Linked DNA regions of Ovis aries. The protein of the gene in region 4 interacts with the protein of the main gene of each other region in a pairwise test. Links are inferred from orthologs where the notes say so. Each region holds a gene or a part of one and is shown on either strand. Other genes may lie near its edges. The genes, in order: UBXN6, UBASH3B, BATF2, DAZAP2, ROR2, BAG3 and TENT5B.

Evidence for each region.
Region 1: the proteins of DAZAP2 (region 4) and UBXN6 interact in binary tests that used the Homo sapiens proteins (3 or more experiments, as listed by UniProt). The link is inferred for Ovis aries from reciprocal best matches to the Homo sapiens genes DAZAP2 and UBXN6.
Region 2: the proteins of DAZAP2 (region 4) and UBASH3B interact in binary tests that used the Homo sapiens proteins (3 or more experiments, as listed by UniProt). The two-hybrid records come from large-scale screens. The link is inferred for Ovis aries from reciprocal best matches to the Homo sapiens genes DAZAP2 and UBASH3B.
Region 3: the proteins of DAZAP2 (region 4) and BATF2 interact in binary tests that used the Homo sapiens proteins (3 or more experiments, as listed by UniProt). The two-hybrid records come from large-scale screens. The link is inferred for Ovis aries from reciprocal best matches to the Homo sapiens genes DAZAP2 and BATF2.
Region 5: the proteins of DAZAP2 (region 4) and ROR2 interact in binary tests that used the Homo sapiens proteins (3 or more experiments, as listed by UniProt). The two-hybrid records come from large-scale screens. The link is inferred for Ovis aries from reciprocal best matches to the Homo sapiens genes DAZAP2 and ROR2.
Region 6: the proteins of DAZAP2 (region 4) and BAG3 interact in binary tests that used the Homo sapiens proteins (3 or more experiments, as listed by UniProt). The two-hybrid records come from large-scale screens. The link is inferred for Ovis aries from reciprocal best matches to the Homo sapiens genes DAZAP2 and BAG3.
Region 7: the proteins of DAZAP2 (region 4) and TENT5B interact in binary tests that used the Homo sapiens proteins (3 or more experiments, as listed by UniProt). The two-hybrid records come from large-scale screens. The link is inferred for Ovis aries from reciprocal best matches to the Homo sapiens genes DAZAP2 and TENT5B.

The regions. Positions count from the first base shown.
Region 1 is NC_056058.1:17,474,357-17,478,602, forward strand, and holds the start of UBXN6 (UBX domain-containing protein 6), read left to right. Parts: upstream 1-1,203; 5' UTR 1,204-1,299; coding exon 1,300-1,382; intron 1,383-1,566; exon of another isoform or gene 1,567-2,224; intron 2,225-4,246. UniProt on the Homo sapiens protein: May negatively regulate the ATPase activity of VCP, an ATP-driven segregase that associates with different cofactors to control a wide variety of cellular processes.
Region 2 is NC_056068.1:33,164,286-33,168,064, reverse strand, and holds part of UBASH3B (ubiquitin-associated and SH3 domain-containing protein B), read right to left. Parts: exon of another isoform or gene 1,037-3,779; coding exon 828-1,036; intron 1-827. UniProt on the Homo sapiens protein: Interferes with CBL-mediated down-regulation and degradation of receptor-type tyrosine kinases. Promotes accumulation of activated target receptors, such as T-cell receptors and EGFR, on the cell surface.
Region 3 is NC_056074.1:39,662,128-39,666,334, reverse strand, and holds the start of BATF2 (basic leucine zipper transcriptional factor ATF-like 2), read left to right. Parts: upstream 1-1,139; 5' UTR 1,140-1,210; coding exon 1,211-1,249; intron 1,250-2,783; coding exon 2,784-2,888; intron 2,889-4,207.
Region 4 is NC_056056.1:134,988,992-134,993,456, forward strand, and holds the start of DAZAP2 (DAZ-associated protein 2), read right to left. Parts: upstream 3,043-4,465; 5' UTR 2,961-3,042; coding exon 2,948-2,960; intron 1,946-2,947; coding exon 1,827-1,945; intron 1,413-1,826; coding exon 1,167-1,412; intron 251-1,166; coding exon 122-250; 3' UTR 1-121. UniProt on the Homo sapiens protein: In unstressed cells, promotes SIAH1-mediated polyubiquitination and degradation of the serine/threonine-protein kinase HIPK2, probably by acting as a loading factor that potentiates complex formation between HIPK2 and ubiquitin ligase SIAH1.
Region 5 is NC_056055.1:26,772,691-26,776,469, forward strand, and holds part of ROR2 (tyrosine-protein kinase transmembrane receptor ROR2), read right to left. Parts: intron 2,209-3,779; coding exon 2,081-2,208; intron 1-2,080. UniProt on the Homo sapiens protein: Tyrosine-protein kinase receptor which may be involved in the early formation of the chondrocytes. It seems to be required for cartilage and growth plate development. Phosphorylates YWHAB, leading to induction of osteogenesis and bone formation.
Region 6 is NC_056075.1:39,287,483-39,292,042, forward strand, and holds the start of BAG3 (BAG family molecular chaperone regulator 3), read left to right. Parts: upstream 1-1,570; 5' UTR 1,571-1,923; coding exon 1,924-2,109; intron 2,110-4,560. UniProt on the Homo sapiens protein: Co-chaperone and adapter protein that connects different classes of molecular chaperones including heat shock proteins 70 (HSP70s), e.g. HSPA1A/HSP70 or HSPA8/HSC70, and small heat shock proteins (sHSPs), e.g. HSPB8.
Region 7 is NC_056055.1:239,939,039-239,943,351, forward strand, and holds the start of TENT5B (terminal nucleotidyltransferase 5B), read left to right. Parts: upstream 1-1,357; 5' UTR 1,358-1,530; coding exon 1,531-1,794; intron 1,795-4,313. UniProt on the Homo sapiens protein: Catalyzes the transfer of one adenosine molecule from an ATP to an mRNA poly(A) tail bearing a 3'-OH terminal group in an ATP hydrolysis-dependent manner.

The DNA.
Region 1 (4,246 bases), on a different chromosome or scaffold from region 4:
GGCTCATATAAAAAATTTTAATAAAAACGAAAACCTATCTGAGATGTTATTTCACCCACAAATACCTCAGAAAATATTTCTAGCTGAAAAAAATTTATTTTTAAACATCACTACAATGTCATTACCATTCTTAACAAAATCAACAATAGCTCCTTTATATCATCTAACACTTGGATCCAATCAAATTTCCCTGGTGGTCTCAAGCAAGCTCTTTTCCTGTGTCGGATTCTTATTTGATGTTACAAACTGCCTCCACCCTCCCATCCCCTCAATCCTGTTTCCCGCTTAATTTTTCTCCATACCACTAACACCATCCACTCCACCATAGATTTTTTATTTTCTGGCTCTCCTCCAATCAAAAAGATCACGAGTTCTTTGAGGCATGGGATTTTGTTTTCTTCACTGCTGGTACAGAAAGGACTCTCAAGAACTGTTCTTAAAGAAGTAAATCTGCAGTCCATGGGGTAGCAAAGAGTCGGACACGACTTGGCGACTGAACAATAACAAAATCATGATAACGTCCGCAATTTATTCAGGGATTTCGAATTGCAGCATTGTCCTCACGACCTCTATGAAGCCGGTGCTATTCGTATACTCATTTCATAGCTAGGAAAATAAAGTTCAGGAAGGTTAAAGTTTGGGCTGCACTTCGTTGAACTCCGTCAGCACTCTGAGGATAATGTCCGATCTCTTTAAGTTAAACCCCTCGGTGTTCCGCCATCGGGGGTCCCCAAGCCCTAGCTCTGTGCGACCCATCCTCTTCATTTTCTCCCACATTGTGTTTGTTGAGGACTATTGGCGCTGACCACGTGACTGGGTCGTGGGGACTTTGCCCCCACACAGAGTTGGGACTTTTTCACGTGACCGCTGGGTAGTCAGGGAAGGTTCTTGAGTAAGTAAAAGGACAGGGCTAGCGCTTTCTCCGCGGGGTCCTCGGCCTGTCCCTCTCCCTCTTGTCTCTCCTTGGGAAACGCAGTGGAAGGCGCTCAAGCACAACCTCCTGGAAGCACCACCTCCCTCTGGAAGCACCGTCGTTGCCCCTGGCAACAGAATCCCGACGAACCACCGAGACGCGCCCCGAGAGTGCAGAGTGGTCACTTTGGGCCAGCAAGACGCAGAGATCTAGAGAGGCACGCTGCGCCGATTGTCACGTGGACTGCCCTCGCGAAGGCGGGACTTCCGGCGGCGGCGTATTTTTTTTCCGGTTGTTGGCTCCTGCCGGCCCCTCCCGTACTGGGCCCTGCGCCCCCCCTACCCCCCCCCCCCGCGCGGCCCCCAGCCGCCGGGCCCCCCGCCACTATGAAGAAATTCTTCCAAGAGATCAAGGCCGACATCAAGTTCAAGAGCGCGGGACCGGGTCAGAAGCTCACGGAGTCGGCGGGGTGCGTGACAGGCGTTGAAGCTTGAGACCCGGGGACGGGGACGGGCGGGTGGGGTGGGGCGCGGGAAGTCTAGGGAAGGCGAGGGGCGTGGAGGGGCGGCTGAGAGAACGTGGGGGACACCTCCGGGGGCGGGGCACGAGGGAGGGGTGGGAGTAGGGGGAGGGGAGGCCTCTGGGGGCGGGGCAGAGGGAGCGAGGCTCGAGGGGGCGGGGCTGCAGGAACTGAGGGGTCGGTTAAGAGACCCTAGTCGGTTAGGGCGGGCGGTAAGGGAGAGGCTAGGGATGCGGAGAACGGCCCCTGAAAAGTCATCGCCTAAGATCTGAGGGCATCTCGGTGATCAGAGGTTGGGGACTGATCCTGGAGAAACAAGAAGAGCTGGGGTCGCAAAAAGTCGTGAAGCTTAAGCTCCGTGGCGATAGAGAACTGGGCCTTGGTTGTGGGGCAGGAGGGTGGCCGGGAGGTGAGGATCCGGAGGGCTTAGGCGTTGTTGGAGGTGTGGCCAGGCTTGGGAGGTGCGGGTGAACTGCGGGGGGGAGGGGGAGGTGAGTGGCGTTGTGAGGGGCTGTAGAAGATCTGGGAGGAGAAGGGAGGCAGGTGGGTGGAGGTGAGGACCTGGGGGACTCCGACTAGAAGGAGATGGGGGTCCTCCTCGTGGGTGATCGCTGAGTGGCCTGAAGGCTCCGGAGGGAGACCTGGGAGGAGAGGGAAGGTGGCCTGCACTTCCAGGCCTCTGTAACTTGACTGGGGAGAACTTGAAGAGAGGGGCCTGGGGCCACACTGGAGACTCCGTGGGGAAGTGTGAGGGGCCAGTGCTGAGCAGAAGATAGTGATGAGCTGGAGAGGTAAGGTGGATGGGCTGAGAAGGCTCCACAGTGGGGAGGGATGAGCAGAAGGAGTCTAGAAGGAGCTGGGATTCCTACAGGGAGCTACAGAGAGGGCTTGGGGGCCCGAGGGGGTTTAGGATGGGGCGTGACTTAAGAAAGTTGTCAGCCTGGGGAGAGGGGGTCTGTGAGGCATAATGGAAGGGATTGTGAAGAGGTGGGGGCTGGGAGGAGAGACTGGGTGGCTGGCAGTAAGGGTTGGTGAGGGAATGCTGAGGCAGTGGGGTGGGTGAGGGAGAGTGGGTGCATGGTAAGGACATCCAGGCATCTGTCATGAGGCTTGGGGGTTCCCTGGGGTTCTTGGGAAGGGATCACTGAGTGGGATGAAGGAGGCCCATGAGGGCCAGATCTGTGAGTCAGGAAAGTGCAGGTCCCGGGAGCCTGGGGGTAGGGGGGTGGAGGAGGACCCCTTTAAAGGGGCCCAGGGACAGTCGTGGGCCAAATAGGGGAGTCCAATCATTTGTCCATCAAGTAGTGAGTGGAGGTGGGAGCTGGAGCAGCTGGGACTGTGTGTGACTGGAAGGAGGTGAGGGCTGATGGTTTTGTCAGACTGGAAGCCTGGAAGGAGAGGGGAGGGAAGTCATGTGGAAATTTGGGCTTCTGTGATGTGCCTGGAGCCAGCCTGGAGACGCAGGGTGTGTGTACAGCTAACTGCCATGGCATGAGAATCCCTGCCCTCTCAGGGCTCCCCTTCCTGTGAGGGGAGGTGGACAAGTAAGCCAGTACATAAATGACGGAAGGTTGGCCATGAAGGGAAAAAAACAAGGTTGAGATTGTCAGCGATGCTGGGGACTGTTAGGTGGTCTGAGAATGTCTCTCTAAGAAGGGGAAGCTTGAGCTCAGATTTAGCCGTGTGGAAATCAACCCATACCATACACACGCATGCACTGTTGAAGTAGCCTCTGTCCATCCCAGGAAGAATACTCCCCCAGAAAGCAGAGTGTGAAGGTCCTGTGGTGGAAGAGCAGCAGAGCAAAGATGGGAGCAAATGAGGGAAAGGGGCAGCTCGTGCAGGGCCTGTGTTTGCAACAGGGTTTTGTCGTTCTTGGGGTGAGGGGGCTGTGTATGCAGAGGAGTGACTGGGTTTTAGAAGAACCCCTCTGGCTGCCAGGATGAGTGATGAAGGGAGGAGGGGGGAGTGAAAGGTTTGGAAAATGGTGCTTTTATGCAATGGTGGGGCTTGGGCAGAGCTATCCATACGTGACTTGTCTGTTCTTCAGCCTGAAACTTTCAGCTGTGGACAGGGTGGGCAAGAGGATCAGGGATCAGAAAAGAGGGCTGCCCTGGGTGTCTGAGCAGAGAGGGGGACCCCGGGGGTGGTGTGTGTGCAGCAAGGCCATCAACGCAGATTCTTGGCTCCCTCTTGAGATATAGCATAGATGATTCCAGCTCCCAAAGGGAGAGTCCTGAGGGAAGGAGAGCAAGGCAGAGTCAGACCTGGGTGGGACGCAGGACTCTGCTGGAATGAGGAGGAGGCCAGGTCATTTCCCGGCTGGGTCAGGGCTGGAGGGTGCCCATCTTACAGGGCAATCACCCTGCTTCCCAGGGTGGAGGCAATATCAAACCAAATCTCTGTAGCCTGCCTCACACAGGGCCTGTGTGCAGCCTGGCATACTGCCCCAGCTTCCATGAGCCTCTGGGGCTTCTGAGAGAGTGTCTGGAGCCCTCGCAGGGAGGAACATTGCCCTGAGGAATAGACATGATGAGCCTTAGCTCCTGGCATGCTGTCTACCTGGCACACAGTTGGTGCTCAGTAGACGAAGTCTGGTTGGGTCTTACCCTTGTAGACAATAGGGGTGGAGACTCTCCCATGGGGGAGGGGGCACACAGTGGGTGTGCTCTCCCCCTGCCTGACAGGTGACGACTCCGAGGCCCAGACCAGGGCAGGATTTGCCCAGAATGGCCAAGCAGGGAACAGAACCACCATCTGCCTCCAGGGGCTCCTCTGTCAGCGTTAGAACCACTGTCTGGTGGCCCCCAGGG
Region 2 (3,779 bases), on a different chromosome or scaffold from region 4:
CAGTGAAATTGCCCGTCTCTGCTTCTCTTTTATGACAGTAATAATGACGTTGCACGCCGTGCAGCTGGTGTTCAGAGCTTCCGGCCCTCAGCCACGCTGGCACAGGGCAAGAACAAGAGGGAGGGAAACCAGCACGCACGCCCTGGCCAGGCGCCCAAAATGCACCAGGGAAGGGCTGGCTCTGAACTTCCCGGATTAAGCACAAAAGAGGAACAAGAGACACCCATCAGGACAAAGCTGGTCGTACAGCACAGGCCACTCAACGTGGGAACAGGCTGGTCTGGGGGCACTCCACAGAAGACCTGGGTGGGGAAGGGCCAGCCTGCCTCTCTCAGCCTCTGGAGGTTACCCATTTCCATAGAAATGGTCTCTGTCATCCAGGCATTCATGTGCCAGGTCTGAGGACTGGGTCAGGCGGTCAGGTCCCCTGACCTTGGCAAACCTGTTCTCTACTGGCTGACTGGCATAGTGGGAATCTGTCCTGCTTCTCTGGGGAGTCTGTGCAATGACCCGGGACAAAGTGCACAGAAGCCCCAAAGCCATAAAGACTCGGCGGTGGGCTGACCCACACTGAGGCCAGAAGACATGTCCCCTAAGCAGCCTGTTTGGTCTCCGATGGAGAACTCTGACAGATGTTCCAGCCGTGGTGGCGGGTGGGGTAAAGCGGGGCATCCCGCTCTTCCCGTGCCCCAGCTCCGCCCTTCCCTGAACGTCTGGGGCCAAGAGCGCTGGACTCCACGCACTGCCGCCCTGCGTGTCCCGCCACCTCCTCAAGGGCCACAGTGTCCTTCGAAAAGCAGCAGGCAGAGAGCCCGGCATGGGCTCACCCGTGAAATATCCAGGTGCTGCACTCGTCGGCCTTGGTGATGTAGTTCTCCGGCAGGAGTCCAGAGCAGCCCGTGGTCAGGGAGGTGCCGTAGATCCAGCCCTCGCTGGTGCTGGTCTGCTCCATGGGCGACATGAAGATGAAGTCCCCGGGGACCAGCTCCAGCTCGTCGTCGTTCTGCGGGGTGTACGGGTAGATCACCTGCAGTGTCTGGAAAAGGGGGAGAGGGAGGCGTGAGGCCCACGCCTGACCAGCTCTGCTGAGCGCTCAGGGCCCGCCTGTGGGCTCTGCTTGCGTTCACGGGCACCTCTGGAGTCTGCAGGCTCCGCGTAGATCTGGATTCAGATCAGAAGGAGTTTCTCCTCCTCTCAGGATATGCTAGTGCTTCTGGCTCGTTCCAGACTTTCCTTCAGGCATAGCTTTGCTTCAAAAGACATGGCTTTTAGAAATTCGTATGAAAACCTGTAGGTTCTCCAGTAAACTGCTTTACAGACGGGTCTGGACCTCGTTTTCCCTGCTCTGTCTGCCACGTTGATGCCATAAGAGACCCTGGACACACAGCTCATGGAAAGGAGTCTTCCATGCAATGTCACCAACACCCAGATGAGAGACTCTGCTAGGAAGACTTTGGGGACGAAATGTCTCCTCTCCATGTAACTGAGCAGCTCAAATAAGACATGGTCCTGCCTTCAAAGAGCTTTCTTTAAACCTCCATAGTTAACAAAGACCTCGAAAGAAAAATATCTTTCACAGCCATCAGTGTCCTGTGTGTAACCAGCTCTTGTCAGTCAGCAGGTGGAGACCACGTGTTCCCTCTTTGGGCTCAGAAAAAGCCCCTTGGGCCAACCCCAGGCCATGTCACTTGTCTGATTTATTCCATATTTTGCCTCCTTATTTATTTTGCCTCACAGGCAGACGTATGAAGATACTCTGGAAAACATCTATTAATATTTTACTACTTTTCTGTTAACAGCAGGAGACCTCAATACTAAGGGAAATATTTTTCTATGTGTTTCATAAGAGGACACTAAGACGGAGCTGTTTTATCAGCTTTTCCTTCAATCCTGAAGCCACTAGAGGAAAGCTAAGTATTCTGGTTCCCACGTACGGGTTTTTAACTTTGTTTGGCCTCTGTTATTTCTCATCTGCAGGGGCTTCCCTGGTAGCTCAGATGGTAAAGAATCTGCCTGCAATGTTGGAGATCCAGGTTCAAACCCTGGGTCAAGAAGATCCCTTGGAAGAGGGTATGGGAACCCACTCCAGTATTCTTGCTTGGAGAATCCCATGGACAGACTAACCTGGTGGGCTACAGTCCATGGGATTACAAAGAGTTGGACACGACTGAGCGGCTACCATTTCATTTTCTCATCTGTAAAATAATACTTAGACTATAAAAGTTAAATGAGACAATCTAAGAAAACTCCTGAGGACTCTAGTACACAGAAGAGGTGTAATTATTTCTATTGAACCATGACTCCTGGCTTTCAAGGGGTTATCTTTCCATCAAGCTGATGCTAACCCCCAAAGTCTATGCTAGGTAGGCCTGTGAGCTAATCGGCTCCTTGGGGTCAAGGTGATCCATCAGATATCATAAAGAATTTCCTTCTGGAAATCTCTAACGAGAAGAGCCAGTAAAAATGATTTCCCCCCACCAGAGAATGAATGTGATAATGCACAGAACTCGAACGCCCCACTGGATTTCTGACATCCCTTTTATTTAGGGCACCCACTTCCTCTCCGAATCCTCACTCCAGCATCTATTGGCTCGAGATCTTCTTCCATCCCATCGACTCCCCACTCCTCTGTCAGATACACGCTCAAATTACATTTTCAAATGAACCAGGAAGGTTTTTTTGCTGGGTTGTTAAAAAACAGCTTAAGGAAAAAGAAAAAAATTCACAACCAACCACTTAAATCTCTAAGCTAGGTATGTGATGAGACACCAGAAGCAATGCTCCTTTTCCTGGAACAGGGTGGAGAGAGGCACCGAGTCACAGGAAACAAGTCTAAACTCAGGTTCCTTAGATGCTCAAGCGCAGCACAGTCTTGGGTAATGATGCCTCTGACTCAGCGGCAGGCGTTTCCTTTGAGAAACTCAAAAATGACAGGGAAGATCTCATCCCTCCTTTCACTTGGGGATGAGTCTTCTGGCTCTACGAGATCCCAGGGAGGTTGAGGTACAGAAAGGAGCCGAAGGTACAACTCCTAGGCAGAGAGCAGTTGCACAACAAGGAGCTTTGATTTACCGAATGAGCAATAAAGAAAATCAATGTACTGCAGCAAATCTCAAATTATAACCGGTGCTCAGGTCCCCATAGTTCTTTCCTGCTCACCGAAACTGCACGGCATGCAAAAGTCAGCCCAAGTTTGGGAGATCTCAGGACACACTGCCTAGTTTTGTCCTGAAAGTGTTAGTCACTCAGTTGGCGTCTGACTCTTTGCAAGTCCATGGACTGTAGCCCACATCAGGCTCCTCTGCCCGTGGGATTCTCCAGGCAAGGACAAGAGTGGGTTGCCATTCCCTTCTCCAAGTTTTGTCCTACATGATACTTACTCTCTTATGTCTAGCATCTACTTGTAAGAATTCTAGAGTCTATTTCAAATATGTTTTCCTCCCTTCCTACTTGGGGACTAAGCTCAAAGTTTGCTACCCTGGGAAGGGCAGGTACAGCCCTTTGTGATGATAGGAACTGACCCTCTTTGCCTTTGAAGCCTTTTTTACAGCTGTGGCAATTTTTGCTGTTGTTGCTGCACCCTCTCTTATGGGAGGCCCTCTAGTCCATACCAACAGTCTAGCAAAATGTCATCACTGTGTTGCACCCAAGAGAACTAAGGACTAGGTTACTATCTAGAAGCTGTAAAAGCAAATCTACTGCTAAAATAGGGAGTCAGGATTTGAAGCCATGTGTGCTAGGCGCCAAAATCTACGCTTTTCCTAGAACTCGGTCCTTCC
Region 3 (4,207 bases), on a different chromosome or scaffold from region 4:
GTGTAGCTAATAATACTATCACAAGACAAGTGTGTTCCCACAGCTGAAGCAATGATATGTCACAGACACACTGAAGTCTCTGTGGGTCCCCTTTAGTCCCTCTCCACCTCCACCCCCAGCAAGCCACCACTCTCTGAATTTTGTGTTTCTGATTCTCATGCATATTTTTATACTTTTCCTACATAATTACACCCGTATTATTCAACATTTCAGAAATGGTGTTATTCAGATCTGGTTACCACTTGTCATTTTCTTCCAAGTGGAAGGAATGAACTTTTAGACATGATGATACACGCAGCTTTGAGTCTTCCATCGCATCACAATTGTGAATATTTGTTGAGCCCTCGTTCTGCACCAGGCATGCTTTCAGGTGCCTTCACATACGTAACCTTAGCAAAAAAATTATCTTTGTCCCCACTTAACAGATTTGGAAACAGAGGCACAGAAAGGTGAAATAATATACCCGAGTCACGTAGCTTGGGAGCTGTGCTCTTAACTGCTAGACGTCACTCTCTCTACTGCTGCGTGGTCTGTTGTATGAAAACACAGTCATTAGCCATCTGTTCGTCTATTTAAGGGCCGTTGCTTATTTTTGCAGACTTGTCTCAACATTATTAGTCTCACAGCGTTGGGGGAGGTGGTCGTATTATCTTGCTTAGTCCCTACATCAAGCCTGTGAGTGGATATCTATATCATCTCCCGTTACAGATGAGGCAACTAAGGCTCAGAGAGGGTAAATCACCTTCTCAAAACTGCACAGCTCCAACGAGCCAAAAGTGGGCTGTGAACCTGGCTCCTGCAATTGTGGAGCCCAGGGATGCCCCCACATCCCTGGTGAGCCCTCTGTGCCCCACTGGCTTCTCCTCTTGGCTCTGTCTCTGGCAGCCTGCCCGCCCTCTCCTACAGCAGCCTCCCCACACCTGGCCTTCAGCCCCCCTCCTCTGGCCACACTCCACCGTCCTCATCCCAGAAAAGGGGCCCAACCGGAAGGCCCGTATGTGTTAGGAAATTCCAGCCACGTGAGCCAAGCCGAGCCTGGGATTCTGAGCAGCTGGTGGCTTTAGGAGAAACTGAAACTTGCCTTGTTGGGGGCGGAGTGGTCACCGGGGATTTAAAGAGCTGCCACTTCCTTGGGCCCCAAGAGGGCACTGGGAGGTCACAGCAGCTGAGGGACGCCCCACCGGTGTGAGCCCGTGTTCTCCTCCCCACCATGCACCTCTGCGGGGGCGACGGGCCTCTGACCAGGACGGTGAGTGCAGGGGAGCAGGTTCAGGGGCTAAGAAGGGGAATATGCCCCAGGGTGCCGGGGCCGGCTCTGTTCGCAGGGGCTGGGGAGCGCAGGCCTCACACACCCGTCTCTGGGCCTCAGTCTCCTTAGGGGTTTGGCTTGAGGGCTTTCCTGCTCTCACATTGCAGATCCAGGCTTCAGTTTAGAACTTGGCCTCTGATTACAGCTCTCTCCTCACCTACCTGTCCTACGCTGCCATTACAGGAGCCTCCTCTTTCCTCCCCGAGCTTTCTGGCCACAGCTCCCCTGGAGGCCTTGCCTCTAGTCCAGAACCCAAGTACCAGAGGCTCAGGCCCTTCTCTTATGGCGGGTCTTTCCCCTCCAGGCTCCAGTCTCTCAGTCCCCCAGCACCTGCAAGGGGCCTGCTGTGGCCAGGAACTTAGGAGTTGCAGAGTCCTCAGCGAGGGAGGCCAGGGTCCTGCCTGAGGTCCCCACACTCAGAACACACCTCCCAGAGTGACCTGAGGGAGGGGGTTGTGGGGTCTCCAGTGTTCCCGCTTGTCTGATTTTCCAGAGCCCTGGGCATGTGGGTTAACTATTCATCTAAGCTCATGAACCCCAGTGAAGGGGGAGAGTCACAGCTGTCACCCTCTGCGTCCACTCTTCTGTCAGAAGGGACTCATTCTCTCATTCTAGGCTGCTGGCCCACTAGAATGCAAGTAGCTTGAGGGCAGGAAGTACTGCCTCTTATGTTTGCTGCTGCGTCCCCTCAGCTCAGTGCGTGGCACATAGTAGGTGTGCAAATATTTGTGGGATAAATGAATATCAGCTTTGGGCTTGAGCTGGGCAGGGGAACACAGAGTAGAATCAGAACCACCCCCACTCTCGTCCTCACAGAAGGAGCTCAGGCTAGAGAAATCAACACCTTAACGGTGGAAACAGTAGTGATTAGAACAACAGCAACTTTTATTAACCCCTGCCAGCTTTCCAGCCGGTGAGGAAGGCACCAGTGCCTCCATTTGGGGCAGATCAGGCAATGGGGCTCAGGGAAGTGAATGATCTACCCAGAGCAACACGGTGCATAAGGAGCCTGTAGGTGTGAAGCGGGTTCTGTCTGGGGCGTGTACTACCCCGTCATGAGCTGTGAGTGGTACGGATGTGAGGCTGGCATTCCACCGAGCTGTGCTGTGTTTGTGATGGGGTGTGTGGAAACCGATGGAGCCAGAGAGGGCTTCTGGCGGAAAGGGGACCCTCGGGGACTTGATTCAAGAAGAATATGGCTGAGACTTCCCTGGTGGTTCAGTGGTTAAGTCTCCAGGCTTCCAATTTAGGGGTCACGGGTTTGAACCCTGGCGGCTCCCTCTGCCTTTAGACAGCATCCCAGCTAGACCCTCACTCCTTGCTGGGTGTTTGGCTCAAATGTCACTGCTTCAGTAGGACAAGGTCTTTCCAAACACCTGAGCTAAACTAAGATGCCACAGGCCGCATGGCGCTGACCCCCCAAAAGAGAAGGGAATGGCTTTACAGCTAGCCCGCCCCTGTCGGGCCCCTACAGGACGCTGAGGAGCATCAGAGGCAGCTGAGGAAGAAAGAGAAGAACCGGGCGGCCGCCCAGAGAAGCCGGCAGAAGCACACGAGCAAGGCGGATGCCCTGCACCAGGTGGGGACGCCTCCCTTCCCATCCCCGACGTCACTCACCCGGGCTGGCCACCTCTTCTCTGTCCCACTAATCAGCAGTTCCCTGTAGGTGCACTGCTGTAGGTGCCAGGGGCCCTGAACCTGGGGAGAGAGGAGGGCTCTGCAGCTGAGATTCAGAAATTCCTGAGTGCTGAGCAGAAATTGTGTGCCAGATGCACGCTGGGCTCCAGGGGCATGACAGTGCATTCTCAGCCCAGGCCTGCCCTCAAGGCACCCCCAGTCTAGAGGGAGGAGACAAGAAGTGGAGGGAAACAGGGAGAACCTGGCCCAGTGACCAGGTGAGGCCCTCATCCAAAGGTAGGTCCCTGAGCCCTGCCCATCCAGAACCCACCTCAGAGGTGCTGCACTGCGGCGATCACCCTGCCTGTCGGGGTTCTGATGTGAGTGGCCAAGACCGTCTGCGAGAAACTGGTTCAGGGTTAAGATGGGCTGGCTTTAGAGTCCCAGCTGCTGCATTCCATAGCTGCAGGTCTTTTCCTTCACTGAGCTTCACTGTCCTCATCCAAAAATCCCTGCCCCCTGGCAGGACCCTTGTGAAGACTAAAGGAGGCCAAGGAGCCTGGTGGGGTGGAGGGTGGGGAGGCTCTACTCACACTTGCCTCTTCACCTTGGATGGTAACCTGACCTCAGATGCTAACCTGACCTTGGGGTTTCCCTTCTTCCTCTGTGCAGAAAGGACACACCTCGGGGGGACCGGTAAGAGCTAGGTTCAGGACCTGGCCTTTGGTTGGGCTGCATATGCGATAGTCCTTACTGCAATGAGTAAACCTCAGAGCCCTCCACACCCAAAGGTCCTACGCTCTCTGCGACCCCACCCCCACTGTCCACCTTCCCCTCCCAACATCCTGCACCTCGTTCTCTGTGTTCCTTCCCTGATGGAGCATGTCCAGCCTCAGGGGCTCCCCCGGCTGCTCCCTCTATCTTCAGACAGCAGCCCAGCTAGATCTTCACTCCTTGCTGGGTGTTTGGCTCCAATGTCACCGCCTCAAAAGGAGGTCTTTCTAAACATCTGAGCTAAATAGACCTCACCTATTACTCTGCTTTATTTTTCTGGTTAACACTGATCTTGCATCACAAGTTTAGATGTTGACCATTGCTTGTCTTCCTCACCAGACTGTAAGCACCCTGAAGGCAGGGAATGCTTCTGCTGCCTACTGTCTCCCCATTACCTGGACCAGTGCCTGGCAGATAGAAGGAACTCAGTATTTCTTTCTGGAGTGAACAATAGAGTCAAAATAAAGTGGAAACTCATAGGTAGGAACAACATACAGATAGTTGGGT
Region 4 (4,465 bases):
AGACACCCCAACAACATGTGTCTAAACTGCAACTTCAGGTTAATATGACTAAAGCAGTTACATTGTGAGAAGTGCTGAAGGTATGTGATGTCTTTCCCGGCATAGAGATGGCCTTGGTTCTTCACCAGATGGTGTAGCCACCATCTGAGCCACCCATGAAGAAGTTTCCCTTCCGCTGAGTTACGAGGACATTGGCTCCCTGCATGACTGCCAGCTGAGCAGCATTGGGAGGGCATCCAGGGGGAGGAGGCTGAAAGGAAAAGACAAGGTTGATTGGGCAGAGGGCAGCTATGGGAGGGAAGTGGACAAAGGTGAAAAAGGACCAATCAGGAAGATGGCAGTGTGCTAACCAGCGGCATCTCAAAGAGCTATCTGGGCCACCAATCTGAGTCCAGCAGGTCTACATTCTTTGTAAGGCCAAAGATATAAACAGGAAACCCACTCATTTAAAGGGTTCTGGATCCAAAATAAAGCCTATGGATACCTTCTAAGTGTGGGAAGTCCAGACTTGGCATTTTCAGTGCAGAAAATCACTCCTATTCACATCCCAAAACGGAGCGGGTACCAGGTCCAGGGACTTATATCACAGGGCCTGACAGTTTTCAAATGGCCCTGGATAATCTGAAGGCTCTACCTGATGACAGCATTTTCACTTCATCCCTAGCCTATGGTTATTGAGTAGATGGTCCTAGCAAGGACCATATGGGCTCTAATTCCCATACATAGGGGAACTAATCAAGAGACATTGCTAAAATCCCTAGTATCTCTCTAAATGCAATTTAATAGGGATTATGCATTGTTTTTTTAATCGTCATGGTTCCTAATACGATGCCATGCTGATGGCACATATAAATAAATGCTTATGGAATGAATGAGGAGTGTTACTAAACTAGTATCAAAGTGAACTGGAAAAGCAGCAGGCAGGACTCCTAAGACAGGAAAACAAAGGAATCTGATAAATTCTAACATCAGTGAGTACGCCAGATGTTACTGACTGGCCACGGTTCTCCTGCCCCTTTGAGTGCTTTCTGCCTGACTACTGGACGTCAGTGATTATTACACCAATACCAGCAACTATTACCCAGGGATGATGAAAGGATGACCAGTCATTTCAGAAAGTTAAAATACACAAGGGTCGAGCTTTTTTGTGACCAAGTCATACTCACAGGAATGTTTCCGGCAGTAGCGCCAGCTCCAAATCTGGCCCCTGTATCATACCCTCCTTCCACCAGCACTGTTGAACCAGGTGGATAGATGGGACCAACTGGATAATAAGCCATGGGGATTGTGGAACCTAAAGGTCCAACAGCCACAGACTGGGCCATGGGAAGATACAGTGAGGCGCCAGGAAATGCAGCTGACATGGTGGGGACGGTGGCAGCCCCCGGGTGCACAAAGCTCGGACGATAGAGCTAGAAGAGGCAGAAGAGAAGGCAATAAGTTACTTCATGACATTCCTATTTCAGATCTCAATTTAATGAGTCAAGTCTTAATTCTCCTTGTGCAGATTACACTCTTTGAGTTACACAAGTTGCCTTTCCACTGCCACTCAATATTCTCCTGGATCACTTCCTGCTATAGCTAATGTTAGGCTCAGGGAATGCAAACTCATCTTCTTAACTTCAGCCAGTGCCAAATAACATAAAACAATCAGATAATGCCTTCTCAAACCCAAAAGAAATGGCTGAACTATGTCACGTTTTAAGATGATTCATGTGAGCACTCTCTTCTGTTTGTGGAAAGTAAATAAATGTGTGGAGCCAGACTTGGCCAAGGACCGAAAACATGATCCAAGAGTATTCCATTATTAAGTTAACTGGAAGCACCTCTGAGTAGGCAGGTGGAGCATCAGTATAGGGTGGAGCCTGAGGAAGATGCAAGGTCTGAGGGTACACAGGGTTCCCAGGAGGCTGCACAGGGTAAGTTGGCTGCGTTGGATATTGACCTGGAAGACAAGGGGGGAAAAAAAGCATGTTGTCTACCATACAGTCACCAAAACAAAGCAGGGCATATTGGGTAGCTAATCTAGCTGGGATAAGCAAAAAGAGATTTCCAAACAGACTGCCCTAGAGGGCCTGATTCCTGGAGCCAAGAAAATAAGCATTCTCGTTGCACCCTTAAAGCTGAAGAAGCTGGATTCCAACTGGACATCCAGTAGCCGACTGCTGTAAGGGGAAAGTCTAGCTGGGCCCAAGATCCTCTCAGAACGCAGGGCAGTTCTGGGCATCCCCTCTAGCCGGTATTTCAACGGTGTGTCCTGTCTCCCTGTCCTGCGTGGTCTCCAAAGGTCTGGTTGTAACTGACCAAGACCTCGTGAGTAACGGTGGTTGTGGTCATCGACCTCACAGGTTCCTACTCAAGGTCGACTTCCAAATGAAAAGAGTGAGTGGTGGAAGTGAATGCTGAGATCGTGGAGGGGGCTGAAGGGAATGTTCTGACACAGAAACCGGGAGACTTTCTGGCCGCCAGCGAGGGTAAGGGGGAAGAGACCCCCTTCGGGCCCGACTGGCCCGCCCACCAGAGCGGCACTTTACTAGTTAAGCCCGGAGGCCTGCCTGTGGTTCCGGAGCGCGGCGCCCCGCCTCTGCCAGTTCTCCATTGGCCTACCCAAATCTCGCCTCCAGCTCCCCATTTGCTCCTACAGATGCCCATCACGACAAACCTTCTCCCCACCCCCCCAACCCACCCACCCAACAGCCCCCCCCCAACCCGAGTCCGCAGCTCCAAACTGCGCCACAGAGTTTAAGGGAGAAAGGGCCGTGAGGGAGCGAACGGCCGTAGTTCGGGAATGACGAAGGTGTCTGGCGCAGCCCCGGGCACTGCAGCTGGCTCAGGAGCGCGGCGCACCTCGCCCCAGGCCTGGCGTTCGGTGACCCTGGGCTCCGGGCCCGCTCGTTCCGGGCCAGCACTAGTCCCCCCGGCGGCCTCAGCCACCCCCTATCCTTGCCTTTGCTGTTCATGGTGGCTGCGGGTCCGGCTCGGCTCGGCGTCGCGGACGGTTATTTTTTTCGTCCTCTTCCTGTTCGTAGTCACTTCCGTGTCACGTGACGATCTGTCCGCCTAGCGTCACCCGACGCCCGAGTGCCGCTGCCACCGGAAACCCCGCCCCTTCGCCCGGCCGCCGGTTGCAGGAGGGAGGGCCCGCGTGATCCCGTCCGCTCGCGTAGGCCCCGCCCACCGGGTCTGGTCCTCCAACCCCTACCCTTGTCCCTCGGCTGAAGGAAAACCAAATACAGGTATTGTCTCAAAACGGGATCTTCTCTCTCTTGAACGCTCGGAGGCAGTAACATTAAACTATTCTCTGGAACCTTTTTCCACCTACGTTCAGCACCTCAAGGTCACCTCACCTTGACAGCCTTTCTACAAGGGGCATGCATGCTTGCTAAGTCTCATCGGTCGAGTCCGACTCTGTGCGACTCTGTCCATGAGATTCTCCAGGCAAGAATACTGGAGTGGGTTGCCATTTCCCATGGACCGAACCGGAAACTAACACACACACACACACACACACGGGACATAGATTCCTACACACACACACACACACACACACACACACACACACGGGACATAGATTTCTACAATCTTACCTAACTGCCTGAGATGCTTCGCAACCCTTGATCTATCTCTCGTTCCCCTCACTCAAGTCTTCACTGCCTTTCTATTCTACCGATAGGCTGTCGGTGTTTTATTTCTGTGTCGCTTTCTCACCGACAGAAAGGGTATGCTGTGCTGTGCCCCGCCCCACCCCGCTGCAACAGCTAGCACTAAAACGCATGTTCTTGGTACCCAAGGAGTACCCATGCCCTGGCCCTTACTTTGATACCTGTCACAGACACCTGTATGGTACCTGATAGGTATTTTCTCTGTGTATCCCTTCTCTTCTAACTTAATCGTTCTTAAGAGCAAAGATGCCATCCTTTAAGGCAACAATTGCTTCCATTCTTTAAGATATTTGCTGAACGCTTGCTGTGTTCAGGTACAGAGATGGAGCTGAACAAGACAGCCCAAGGCTATTTTCTCATGGTTTACATTCTGTAGTGTAGGAAGAACATTAGAAAAGCATCTGAAAAGAAAGCTTTGAAAAGAAAAACCCTCGGTAAACATTAGCAACCTGATCCATATTTGCTGTTGAATGACTTAAACCACTGAAAAGACCAGTACTCACTTCATCAGCAGTCCGCTGTTTTTCTCTCCAGTGTCAAATTACAGTTTGCAGGACACCATTAATATGCATGATTTTATGGAGTCATCACAGATCTTCACAACAGCCCTGTGTGGCAGGCAGGGCTTGTTTAAGCATTTCTGTTTTTCAAATGAGAGATTTGCCCTAAGTCACACAGTGAACAGGTTACAAAGTCAGGTGTGTTATCTTGGTCCCCACCCCCACCCCGGTTCCCAAATCAGTGGTTTGGTTTTGTTTTGTTCTTATCCCTTTACTCTGCCTATCACAACTGCTGCTGCTGCT
Region 5 (3,779 bases), on a different chromosome or scaffold from region 4:
TGGCTGGTGAACTGGGTTTAAACGAACCCAGTTGAGTCTCATCATGTGAGCTGACAACTGTCTACCAGAAGATCTGTCACCAATTTTGGCCTCTACTCCCAGGCGGCAAAAGGCCTAAGAAAGCCAGAGGTGGCATCGCTTTGGGGATATCAACTAAGAGGATGTAAAGACCACCCCCTACAGGACTGCTCCTCTCCCCAATCCCGGAACCTATCAGGTGAGGACGTATTTCACGTGATGAAATAAGATGGTTCTAGGCATCACAGAGATCCAACAACTCATGTCCTTGTTTTCGTTTACATCCAGCACATCACTTTGATGGTTCTGGGGCTTATCCCTGGGAAGCTTCCAGTGTCCCTGGAACTCATTCTGACAAGCATTCTCTTCAAACAGACTGTATCCACAACCAACACAGTTTCTAAACCATCAGTCAGTCTAGAGCAACTTCACACTTAACATTTTCAAAAATCCACAAATCTAGAGAACCCTCATTCTAAACTTTTATCTTTAAAAAATGCTATAACATGAGTCTGCTTTGATATCTGAGTTGTTATCCTTTAAACTTCCTGAAGAAACAACTGAGAGACAGCCCTGTGCCTTGAATCAGTGTTTGCCAATTAGTGGGATACACAATTAATTCTGGAGTCTGTGGCTAGTATTTTAAACGATGATTAGAATGGAACAGAGGATGTCAGAGTGCATGGTTTATATTAAGGCTGGAAACAAGTTTTTTCTTTAATGAAATAAAACTGAAGGGAAAAATCAGCTTGCATTGCCTTTGTTGAAGTGAATGTTGTTTCCTGTAACCCATTTCAGTTCTATGAAGCAGATATATATGTATACTAAGTCACGATGTAAAGTATACTTTATGCTGTGGGTTGTGATCAGAAAGTTCAAGAAGTTCTGCTTTAAATGGCATAAGGAGCTTTTCCAATGAGAGATACAAACAAGTTCAAAACATGTGCCCACTGGACCATTACTGCCCTTCCAGGATCTTGGGGTCCCATTACTGCCCTTCCATTTCTCACTGGACACCTTACCGTGTCCTCAGGGGTCTCTGTAGCCATGGGCCAGGCAGGTTAGACCTTAGACCCTCCAGACTGAGGGTGAAAGACAAAGCCAGGATCAAACTGGACTTAGAAGAACATTCAGTGACACCTGCGTGAGTTTCTACCTGGGGTCCTCTTTGTACTCTTACAGGGCAGTGCTCTGCCAGCCTCTCTGCAAATCCCTCCAGAATCTCCAGGGAGCCCACATCAGGGATCAGCCTGGGTCAAGAATCACTGTGCAGAGAACCTAGTTCAACTGGGTCACCTGCCATCTTCACCCGATTCTCCCTGTTCCTTAAAGACTCTAAGGAGAAAATGTGGGGGTTTGTGAGGAGAGCAGAGACAGAGGGGGAGGGCTTTTTAGGGCCTTGGTTTAATTCATTTTCTCACTTCTCAAGGAGTGTCCCCCAGGAAGTTCTTAACATCAACTTCTAAAATGATGGAAAACGAGCACGTTCACTCCTAAAGGATCTGAACCACTTCTCATACATTGGAGCAGGTAACCGAAGACCTGACTATGCCCAGCAGCCAAGGGCTGGTGGGGGTCTGAGTTCACTGCAGGGTCCCTAGGGTACAGCTGTTGGCCTGGAACCTCTGTCCTCAATAGCTGAAATCTGGCCCAGGTACTTTGTACCCAAGCCAGGTTCCTTGTAACTCTGAGAAGGACAAGAGCTAGGAAAGGCAGAACCAAGACTGAACATCACAGGTGCGGGCCTGCCCATGAGGGTAGTGGAGGGAAACAAGACAACGCAGGGCTTGGGAGCCGCTCAACCGACTGAAGTCAGTGTGTTCGTACACTCCAGGCAGACTGCGCTTGCTAATTTGCATACACAAATAGGAATATTTTAGGATAAACTGCAACCACTTCTGATAAAGGCCTCTGATTTTCTCTTGCACGAGACATGACACAAGGATTCACTGGCCATGGTTGTAAGGGACAAAATACACAAATGGAATTGAAAACACACCAGCAGGGCGACAGGCAGCTGCATGCATGCTCAATGTCTCAGAACAGAGGACTGCACTCCTACCTGTGATTCGGTTTTCAATCTCCCCCTGCATCTGGAGAGAGTCCACATAAATGGTCCGGTTCCCAATGAAACGCGCACAGGCAATTCCCCGGTAAGGCTGGCAGAATCCATCCTCATGGTAGTCGTCTCTGGGAAAAACACACGATCCGTGAGCACACTGAAATTATCCCCAATGATTTTTTTTTCTCTTTTTAAATCCAGCATCTGGTGAGCTAGCCGTCTTGTCCCTTGGCATCTACCTGAATAAACTGGAAACTTCTGTCCACACAAAAACCTATGTGTGTGTGCTCAGTCATGTCTGACTCTTTGCAACTCCATGGACTGTAGCCTGCCAGGCTCCTCTGTCCATGGGATTTCCAAGGCAAGACTATTGGAGTGGGTTGCCATTTCCTACTCCAGGGGATCTGCCCAACCCAAGGAGTGAACCCATATCTCTTGTGTCTCCTGCATTGGCAGGTGGATTCTTTACCACTGCACCATCTGGGAAGCCCACAAAACACACACAGAGAGACATTTATAGCAGCTTAATCCATAACTGCCAAAACTTGGAAGCAGCCAAAATGTCCATAGTGAACAAAAAAACTGTGGCACATCCAGGCAATAGAATATTTACTCAGCACTGAAAAGAAAAGAGCAATCAAGAAAAGATATGAAAAAAAAAAAAACCCATGGAGGCAACTTAAATGCATGTTACTAAGTGAATGAAATCAGTCTGAAATGGCTGCATGCATACTGTGTGATCCCAATTCTATGACATTCTAGAAAAAGCAAAATTATGGAGCAGTAAGAACATAGATGAATGCCAAAGGGTTGGTGGTGGGGGTTGGTGACTAGGAAAACAGGAGATTTTTAGGGCAGTGGATCTACTCTGTATGATACTTTAATGGTGGATACATGTTATTTTACATTCGTGCAAACCAGAGAATACACAACACCAAGAGGGAACGAGCCTTATCGTAAATCATGCTGCTACTGCTCAGCCACTTCAGTCGTATCCAACTCTTTGTGACCCCATGGACTATAGCCTGGCCAGGCTCCTCTGTCCATGGGATTCTCCAGGCCAAGAATACTGGAGTGGGTTGCCATGCCCTCCTCCAGGGGATCCTCCTGACTTCAGCTAATAATAATGTATCAATACTGACTGGCTTATAGCTGTGGTGTTGGAGAAGACTCTTGAGAGTCCCTTGGACTGCAAGGAGATCCAACCAGTCCAGCCTAAAGGAAATCAGTCCTGAATATTCACTGGAAGGACTGATGTTGAAGCTGAAACTCCAATACTTCGGCCACCTGATGCGAAGAACTGATTCATTTGAAAAGACCCTGATGCGGGAAAGACTGAAGACGGGAGGAGAAGGGGACGACAGAGGATGAGATGGGTGGATGGCATCACTGACTCAATGGACATGAGTTTGAGTAAACTCCAGGAGTTAGTGATGGACAGGGAGGCTTGGCATGCTGCAGTCCATGGGGTCGCAAAGAGCCAGACATGACTGAGGAACTGAACTGAACTGAACTGGCTTATAAACTGTAACAAACGCACCATACTAACACAAGACGTTACTGATAGCGAAAATTGTATGTGGAGATGGGGGGAACGAGTACCAGAGCTTTCTCTATACTTTCTGTTCAATTTTTCTGTAAACTTAAAATTGACCTAAACTATCCAGTACTTTGGGCACCTCATGCAAAGAGCTGACTC
Region 6 (4,560 bases), on a different chromosome or scaffold from region 4:
ATGTCTGACTCTTTTGTGACCCCATGGACTGCAGCCTGCCAGGCTCCTCTGTCCATGGGATTTTCCAGGCAAGAATACTAGAGTGGGTTGCCATTTCCTTCTCCAAGGGGAACTTCCTGACTCAGGGATCAAACCTGCATCTTCTTGTTGGCAGGTAGATTCTTTACCTCTGTGCCACCTGGAAAGCCTGACATAGTACAGGGCTTAAACATCTCTGTGTTTTCACAAAGCTGAGTTTTTGTACTTCAAAGCTGGTAAGTAGACCTATGTAAGTGAGACCCCCATTCCATTGAAAATGATTGGCAGTTCTCTTCAGCATTTGCTCTAAAAGGAGTAATTTGGGGGTGGGAAGAGACTCCAAAAAAGTGTTTCTGAGGGTTCCAGAATGTCCTCTGCATTTGAGTTGGAATATTGGGCCCAATATTACTTAGCCCAAGGCATCTTCTCAAAAATGTTTCTGGGGAAGGGAATGATCCTGCAGGCCTAAAAATCTAAAATGAGACCTCCCAACATACCACCTCTGGGGGCATACTTTCTCTCTCTCTCCCAGAGGAAATGAGGTGCTTGGTGGAGGTTACAAGTGCAACCACCATTTCATTACACAAATTTTTTTTCATAATTTGTATTCTTTCCTACTTTTCAAAGGGCTTCCCAGGTGGCTCAGTGGGTAAAGAATCCGCCTGCAGTGCAAGAAACATGGGTTTGATCCCTAGGTCGGGAAGATCCCCTGGAGAGGGAAATGGCAACCCACTCCTGTATTATTCCCTGGACAGAGGTGCCTGGCAGGCTCCACAGGGTCGCTAAGAGTCGGAGGTGACTGAGCACGCATGATTTACACTACTTTCCAAATGAAGGTCAGATTAAGATAGCAAGAACCAACTTGCACCATCAACAAGCCCCAAACCCCAAAGAATGTTTTTTCTTTAAAGTTCTTCACTGCAACGACAGAGTCTACGTTTAAGACATGTGCTTCAGCAACATGCATGCGCTGATGCAATCTTTCTTTAGGATTCGAAAGAAAGGCAGGTGAATTTCTATTTGTACTTCCATTATTCGCCCTGGCTTGCTTCTGGTGTCGGATCAACATTCCAGAGCCCTTTCCGGACGGCCCTTAAGCCCATGGGGAAAAGTGATTAACTGAGGGTCACCAATGTCCCGGAGTATCAGTAATCTGGGGGTACAAAGGCGAGGTGGGAGAGACTCTAGTTTAATCCCCAACGACTTAAAAGGCTAACGATGAGTTTGTTTTTACACGAAGGAGCCAGTCCCGGGAACACCCACGCGGCTCGAAGAAGACCAAGCAAATCTGAAAACCGAAACCGGCCCAGGACACACAGATGACGTCCCCGGGGGTTCGCTCGACCTGCCGCTCGGCGACACAGGGATCCCGCGGATGCAAACCCCTCGCCCAGCTCAGGGAAGACTCCGCCAGGAGCCCCCGACCCGGGGAGCCGCGAATAGGGGGAAGAGGTGGCGGGGTGGAGGAGGGGCGGCCGGCGGAGGCCCCGCCCACGCCCCGCCCACGCCCCGCCCCGCCCCGATTATAGCTGATGACTCAGGGCGGAGCTCCGCATCCAACCCGCGTCGCCGCCAACTTCTCTGGATGGGACCAGAAGTTTCTAGCCGGCCAGTTGCTACCTCCCTTTATCTCCTCCTTCCCCTTTGGCAGCGAGGAGGCTATTTCCAGACACTTCCAGCCCTCTCCGGCCACGTCACCCCCTCCTTTAATTCATAAAGGTGCCCGGCGCCGGCTTCCCGGACACGTCGGCGGCGCTCCCGACTTTCCGCTCCGGCAGCGGCCAGCGAGCGACCCTACACCTGGAGGTCCGGCACCCCGCGACCCCGTGACCCGGCACCCCGCGACCAGGCACCCTGCAACCCAGCACCCCGGCGGCCGCCCCTCCGGGCCGACCCCGACCCAGCATGAGCGCAGCCACCCACTCGCCCATGGTGCAGATGGCGTCCGGCAACGGCGCCAGCGACCGCGACCCCCTGCCCCCCGGCTGGGAGATCAAGATCGACCCGCAGACCGGCTGGCCTTTCTTCGTGGACCACAACAACCGCACCACGACGTGGAACGACCCGCGCGTGCCCCCCGAGGGCCCCAAGGTGAGCAAGGCCCGCGCCGCACCCTTGCCAGTGGCTCCCCCTCCACCTTCCCCCCAGCCCCCCATCGACGGCCAGTCTAGGGACAGGGCCGGGCGGGGGCGGCTGGACTGGGCCCGGCTGCGGGGACGCAAGGCGCCAGGTGCCCGCCGGCCGCAGCCGGTGCCTCGGAGGTCAGTGAAGGCCGCCTGGAATGCACGGATCCCCAGAAGGACGCCAGCTCCCAGGGGGGTCGGCCTGCTGCGCCCCCCACGAGCCCACTCTCCAGGCCCGCCCTTGGCCGGCGTCTGGGCCAGTTTGGGGAGCTTCCCAAGAGGACTGCCCTCCCTTGGCCGTGTTTGGTTTCCGGGGGTCGGGCGGGAAGCGGGACCCGCGCGGTGGCACCAGGTCCCGTCCACCGGCTCCATTCGAGGGGCCCTGGGCCAGGAGACGACGGGTGGCCGGCCTGCTCAGCACCAAGGCCCGGGCCAGGCCCTGCCACGGTCTCCACCCGGCTTCCAGGGCTCAGATCCTCCTTTCTCTCTGCTGACCGTGCTTTGGCAGACGCCAGGGGACCGTTGGCAAGCTTCTGTGGGGGTCCTTTAGGGTCTCTTAGGAATTTTACATCCTCAAGTTCCTAAACTTGGTTGAGGGTATCTGGAGTTCACTCTCCCACCTCAGGCACAGAGTGACTCAGGAGACTGATGTAAATGCATTCCTTTTCTTTATTTTTTCCCTTCTGTATTTGAAATTAAAACTCTATTATTGTTTGAAAGTTGTCCTCACTAGGAATATATTCTAGTATGACTTGTTAAAAATAAGATGCAATCTTCCAGGCAATTTCTAAACTGAAGATGTGAGACTGTCTCCTAGTTGACTATTGCCTTAGATACTGCCTCACCCTGGTCAGAAAGAGATTAAAAAAAAAAAAAAATCAACACATTCCCTTTCTCGTTATGCTACTAAAATATTTAGGATTTTTTCTTATCCCCAATACACAAATAATTTAGTAGTAATACTTTTGTATTAGAAGTATGCCTCATTTACATATACGCAGGGGTGTATATACTACTTAATCCTTAGAACCATGAAAATTTGAAAATATAAACTTGGAATGAGTCTGTTAATTTAAAAAATTATAACTAATTGTACTGCTCTTGTAATTTTTATAACTTTGAGCTTTTTCAAAACGTAAAGCTTGGCAAAAAGAAATAGTCTGGGCAAAATAGAAGACATAAAGAGCTGGTAAGTTATTTTTAAGATTTAAAAATTCACAGAATTAAAAATGTTTTATAAACCATTGTTTTAGAAGAAAAAAATCTGTGTTAACCATCTTCAGTTTTATGCAGCTTTTTCCTTTAAAATATTTATGAAACTCTGGTGCCCAACAGTGAGATATTGTATAATCAGCAGCTTATGCTTATGAGAAATTAATTGTATATTTATTCCTGAAAATTATTTCAAGAGGCTGTAATTAGCTGGGATCGACATAACCATGTATTCCTTTCGCTTGTCTGTTCAGCCCATTATTGAGTGAAACTAAAGCTCATTTTAAACCAGCTCTGTTACTGCAGACTGCAAGGGTGTAGATCTTTACTGAGGCCAAAAAAAAAACCAACCTGTCTTTTTGAGGCTTCCTTCCTATAGAGACAGGAAGAGTCAGAATCCACTGGCGTCAGTGGTGGTGAGTGTAGGTCAAGTAGGAACGTATCCACTGTGAGTTCAGTGTACATGCCACATTGTTGGCGCTTGGTTTTCAACGTGAAACTCACCCAGCAGGTTGAGATCTTATGTATGATGGATGGTTAGGCTGTGGTTTTACAAACTTTTTCAAGGCAAGGGGGCGGGGGGAACAGGTTAAGTTACTGTTATTTTTCTCAACAAGTAGAACATAAGAGCTAGTAAATCAGAAGTTTGATGCCATAAAAGTTGATTTGAAAATTTAACAGAATTTTAAAGTTGAAAGATCGTTTAAGATCTTTTAGCTCAGCCTCTCTTTTTCTGAGAAAGAAACCCAGAGAGTTCACATGTGTTTCCAAAGGCCATTCAGCCAGGACCAATAGCAAAGAGAGACCTACACCGGAAAGTCCTATTTAAGAGGCAGTTTATTGTTCAGAGGAAGGTAGAAGAGTCTTAAATTTCTTAAATTTCTATGAAATTTAAGTGTGAACTGGGAAGGCTGGAGTACTTGATTGTTTTTCTGCCCTTCTGACTTTTGTGACTACTTGGATGGTGATGGCTGGATGTGATCAACTCAAAAAAAGAGCTGCTTACCAAATTAATTGAGATTTCTCAACGTGGCACTAGAACATAAGGAGAAAACTAACATTCACTTCGTTAGCTCTGTGGGCTTCATGGCTTTCAAGACTGTGCTTTGATGTACACAGAACAACTATGTGACTAATTCACTTTAACTTCTGTGAATGACACCTCACTCCAGAATAAATACAATGGAAAATAAATACAGTGGAAACT
Region 7 (4,313 bases), on a different chromosome or scaffold from region 4:
GAGATGAATCAGACTCAATTTCTAGAATTTTGCCGCCAGCACCTATATTTAAAATAAGAAAAGATTAAACATAATAACAATAAGCCTCATCCCACTAGGCTCTGTAAAGTGGGAGAGAAAAACATGTAAATGTATTATTTCAATAGAACACATGAATATGTTTTGCCAACTATAAATAACCAAACCAAATTAAGAATATATATATTTATTGAGCCCCTTCTCTGGAGTAGATGAGGAAACCGACTTAGATTTAGGGACTTGCCCAAGGCACCAGGACCTGAGAAGCTAAGAGGCTGGCAGGAAGGACTTCCACCTGCTGCCCAGGAAGCTGCTGCCAGAAGACCAACACTCCAGCTCAGGCTTCCCTCCAACCTCCAGCCCTGTGAAGGCCCTGAGTCTGCTCAAGTGTAGTGGAAAGAGCAAGTGCCTGCAGACTCTCTAGTGCAGGTTCAACACCAGGGCCTGTCTCACTTGCTGTGTGACCTTGAGACAGTCAAGCCCCTTCTCTGAGCAGGTTTCCTCATCCCTAAACCAAAACATGGGGCTTCCCAGGTGGCTCAGTGGGTAAAGAATCCGCCTACAAATCAGGAGACCCGGGAGACACAGGTTCGATCCCTGGGTCGGGAAGATCCCCTGGCGGAGGGCATGGAAACCCACTCCATTGAATATCCTGCTTGGAGAGTCACATGTACACAGGAGCCTGGACTACAGCCCATAGAGTCTCAGAGTCGGATACGACTGAAGCGACTGAGCAGGCCCACAAACCAAAACATTAACGCTAGCCAGGTAGAGGTGTGCTCAGGAGAGTACATTACAAAGTATCTACCTCGGTATACAAGTTCGTCACCTTTTCTCAACTCTGGAAGATTGCCTGAGAGCAGGAGGAGCACGGTGTGAAGTCGAACAATTGGCGCAGTCTCTCTGAGCTTCTGAAAATAGTGGATGACTAGGACCAGGCCCAGTGATTTCTAAATTCCTTCCAGTGCAAAAAAAAAAAAAAAAAAAAAGAGCTTAGTGGTCCAATTTCGCTACAAACTTCACAGGTCACTTCCTTCTCGTCTGCCCCTGGAGGGCGCAGTCCCTTTAAATCCAGGACTTGCCTTCGGCCCGAGCCAATCACCGAGAACAGAAGTTCTTTAAGGACCAAAGGAGGGAATTAAGCCGGAGCAGGAGGACGGGCAGGGGTGTGCCATCCAACCAATCGGAATCCTCCTGGCGACCAGTGACTCACGTGCAAAGCTTTGCTGACCAATGGCAGGCGCGTCGAGAGGCGGGGCGGTTCCCGCTGGGTGACAGCTGCTCGGACCAATGGGTGTGTCGCCCGCGGCCTATAAGAGTCCGCGGGGCCCCGGGCGACAAGCTTTAGGGTCGGTTGGTCGTCGCCGTCGGAGGTGTGCTCTGGGTTTGCCTCGCCGTCGCTGCTGTCCGGTCCCTGCGTCCTCCGCGTTGGTCGGGGCCCAGCCGCTCTCCCGGCCCTCCTCCCCTTAATCGCCCCCCGGTTTCTGCCGTCGGGGCCCCGGGGCCGGGCTAATGATGCCGTCGGAGAGCGAAACGGAGAGCCGGGACCGGGCGGCTGCACAGGTGGGGACGGCTGCGGCCGCGGCGGTGGCTAAGGCCGCCCCGGCAGGCGGCGGCCCCGACCCGGAGGCCTCATCGGCCTCCCTCGGACAGCACCTGAGCGGGTTGAGCTGGCCGCAGGTGAAGCGGCTGGATGCGCTCCTGAGCGAGCCGATTCCCATTCACGGGCGCGGCAACTTCCCCACGCTAAGCGTGCAGCCCCGGCAGATCGTGCAGGTGAGAGGCACTGGGCGGTGGATAGGAAGTCTCCATCCTGAGGCTCTCGTGGCTGCAAGGTTCCCGGAGTCTGTTCGATTTGTTGGACAGCTAGGAAAACAAGGCTCGGGGAAGGACAAGAGCTGTAACAAAATCGCGCAACCTTGATGGGAGTCCACATCCTACTACCCCCGCATCTCATAATCTTTTTTCCCCACTTGACTTTCCTGTCCCCCGCCCCTTGAGGAGCCCCGATGGCCCTCGGACCGTTTACCTAGGTCCTGGCTGGAGGGGGCGGGAAGTGGGGAGGGACCTGGCCTGGGAGGAAGAACAGCCCCGCCTGCAAGGACAGGAGTTGCCAGGCAGCCCTGGGTGGGTAGCTTGGGTAGTTTTGCACGCTTGAACCCGAGATAGTTCTTTTCATCTCCAAACCGTCATCCCCAGGTCTCATGCCCAACCCTTTCCCTCTCTTGAGATTTAGGAGCAGATTCTCTCTGTCCTCTGCTCCCACAGCCCACGGCTCAAGAGCCCCCTCCGGAAAGCTGAGAAATTCCAGCTAGGACTCCCTCTCAACTGGGGTTGTGTGGCAGGAAGAGATTAAGCATGAGGCACCTGATGCCTGTGTGCGGGGTGGGGTGGGGGGACATCAGGTGTCCAGTTTAGCTGTTTCTTTCCTTTCCCAAGATTGGAAATGAGGGTTGAGTCTCTGGCCCCAAGCCCCATCTCTCTCCTGAGGGGAAGAGAATTCTGGCAACTCCTTTCCTGTTCCACAGACTCCCTCTTCCCTTTACCTGGCCCTCAACAACCCTAAAATTGCTCTTTCACCTATATAGCCCAGGCACTGTCATGCTCTGAAATACCATAATATGGTAATTACTGTACCTATTTTATAGCTGGGGAAGCTGAGGCCCCAAGAAGGGCCGTGAGCTCCCTAAGATTTCCTAGAGGTGAAAAGCAAACCCAGAGAATCTTTGGTCTTCCCAGGAGCTGGTTACTACAAGTTCAAGGCTTTCCCATTTTTCCCCAAGACTTCCCAAGTTCCCAAGATTCAATTTGTAGGTCTTAGCAGTTAGAAGAAACCAGAAAATCTAGCTGCAATTCCTGCATATTCCTGGCAGCAGATGGGGAAGTAGACATGCAAGCCAGGTAAAGCAGACCACCCCCCATCCCTGGCTCTTCTGTCTTAGCTTCCACAGAGGGGGAGGGTTGCTTGTTGTGGGATTACCTCTCCCTCCCTCTCAAGGAATGGGAGGGGGTGGGGGCAGATTCCCTAGGGTTGAGTCATCAGTGGCGAGGCATTCCTGGGCTGCCCCGCTGTTATGGGGCAATTAGGAACCAGTTGAGGTTTTTCTCCTCCTTGACAGTCAGGTCAAACTTGGGGCCCCAAATGCTATATCCCCAGGACTATTATCCCAGGCATGAGCCCAGTGTGGGAGTTCTTCTCTGCAGGGACTTGGGGTGCCCTAAGGGGAGGTCCCTGCCCCTGTCAGTATGGTCCAAACTGCCTTTACTGGTATGTTCTCCGTGCCAAGCCCTGTTCAGGACACCAGGGGCACAGATGTGACTGAGACCCAGCCCCCTGGCTTTCCAGCTACTCCCATCCAGGTGGGGAAGACTGCAGGTCAATAGGAGCTGACTCTACAATGTGATAAAAGTACAATGTCTCCTAGACTAGGGTCAGAAATACACAGACCAGGGAACTGCCGGCTGTTGGGGGGAGGAGGACAGTGGCGACTTAGAGAGTTGGACTGGAAGGCTGGACATCTAGTTTCAGGGCCTGGACCATTGTCAATTCCCTTTGCTGGCCCTGTGCGTGCGAAGTTGCTTTAGCAAAGTCCAACTCTGTGGAACCCTATGCATTGTAGCCCACCAGGCTCCTCTGTCCATGGGATTCTCCAAGCAAGAATACTGGAGTGGGTTGCCATGCCCTCTTCCTGGGGAATCTTCCCAACCCAGGGGTCCATCCTGCGTTTCTAACATCGCCTGCATTGGCAGGTGGGTTCTTCACCAGTAGTACCCCCTGGGAAACCCAGTGTCCCTTTTTGTTCAATGGGGATGGGTTGAACTGCTCTCCATTGCCCCTTCTGCTTCCAGAATCCAAAGGGTCCTTTACGTGGCCTGTACAAATGCCTCCACAGGGAAGAAAGTCCATCTTCTGTCAGGAATTTGTAGCTGGCAGCTTCACAAGCTATTGGGATGTGTGTGTGTATGTGTATGGGGGGCGGGTGGTGGCAGGGGGTCCTGTTTGTGTGTATGTGGTGGGAGATGCTGGTTTGTTGACTTTGGGCTTCTCACCTGTGCTGAGTTGTCCCATGGTTCAAGAATTGGAAACTTTCTCCCTCTCTGCCCCCCAACAAGCTTTGCCCAGCAGTAATCTGGGCATTTAGAGATACGATTCCTGCTTGTACCTGGGCTAGAGGAACCTACTCTCCTGTAGGAGGCCCCCACCCCCACCCCACCCCCTGGAACATAGTTCTGGGAGAACTGACTCTACTTAAGTTCAGCCACTTATTGACTGTGTGTCCCTAAACAAGTCCTCT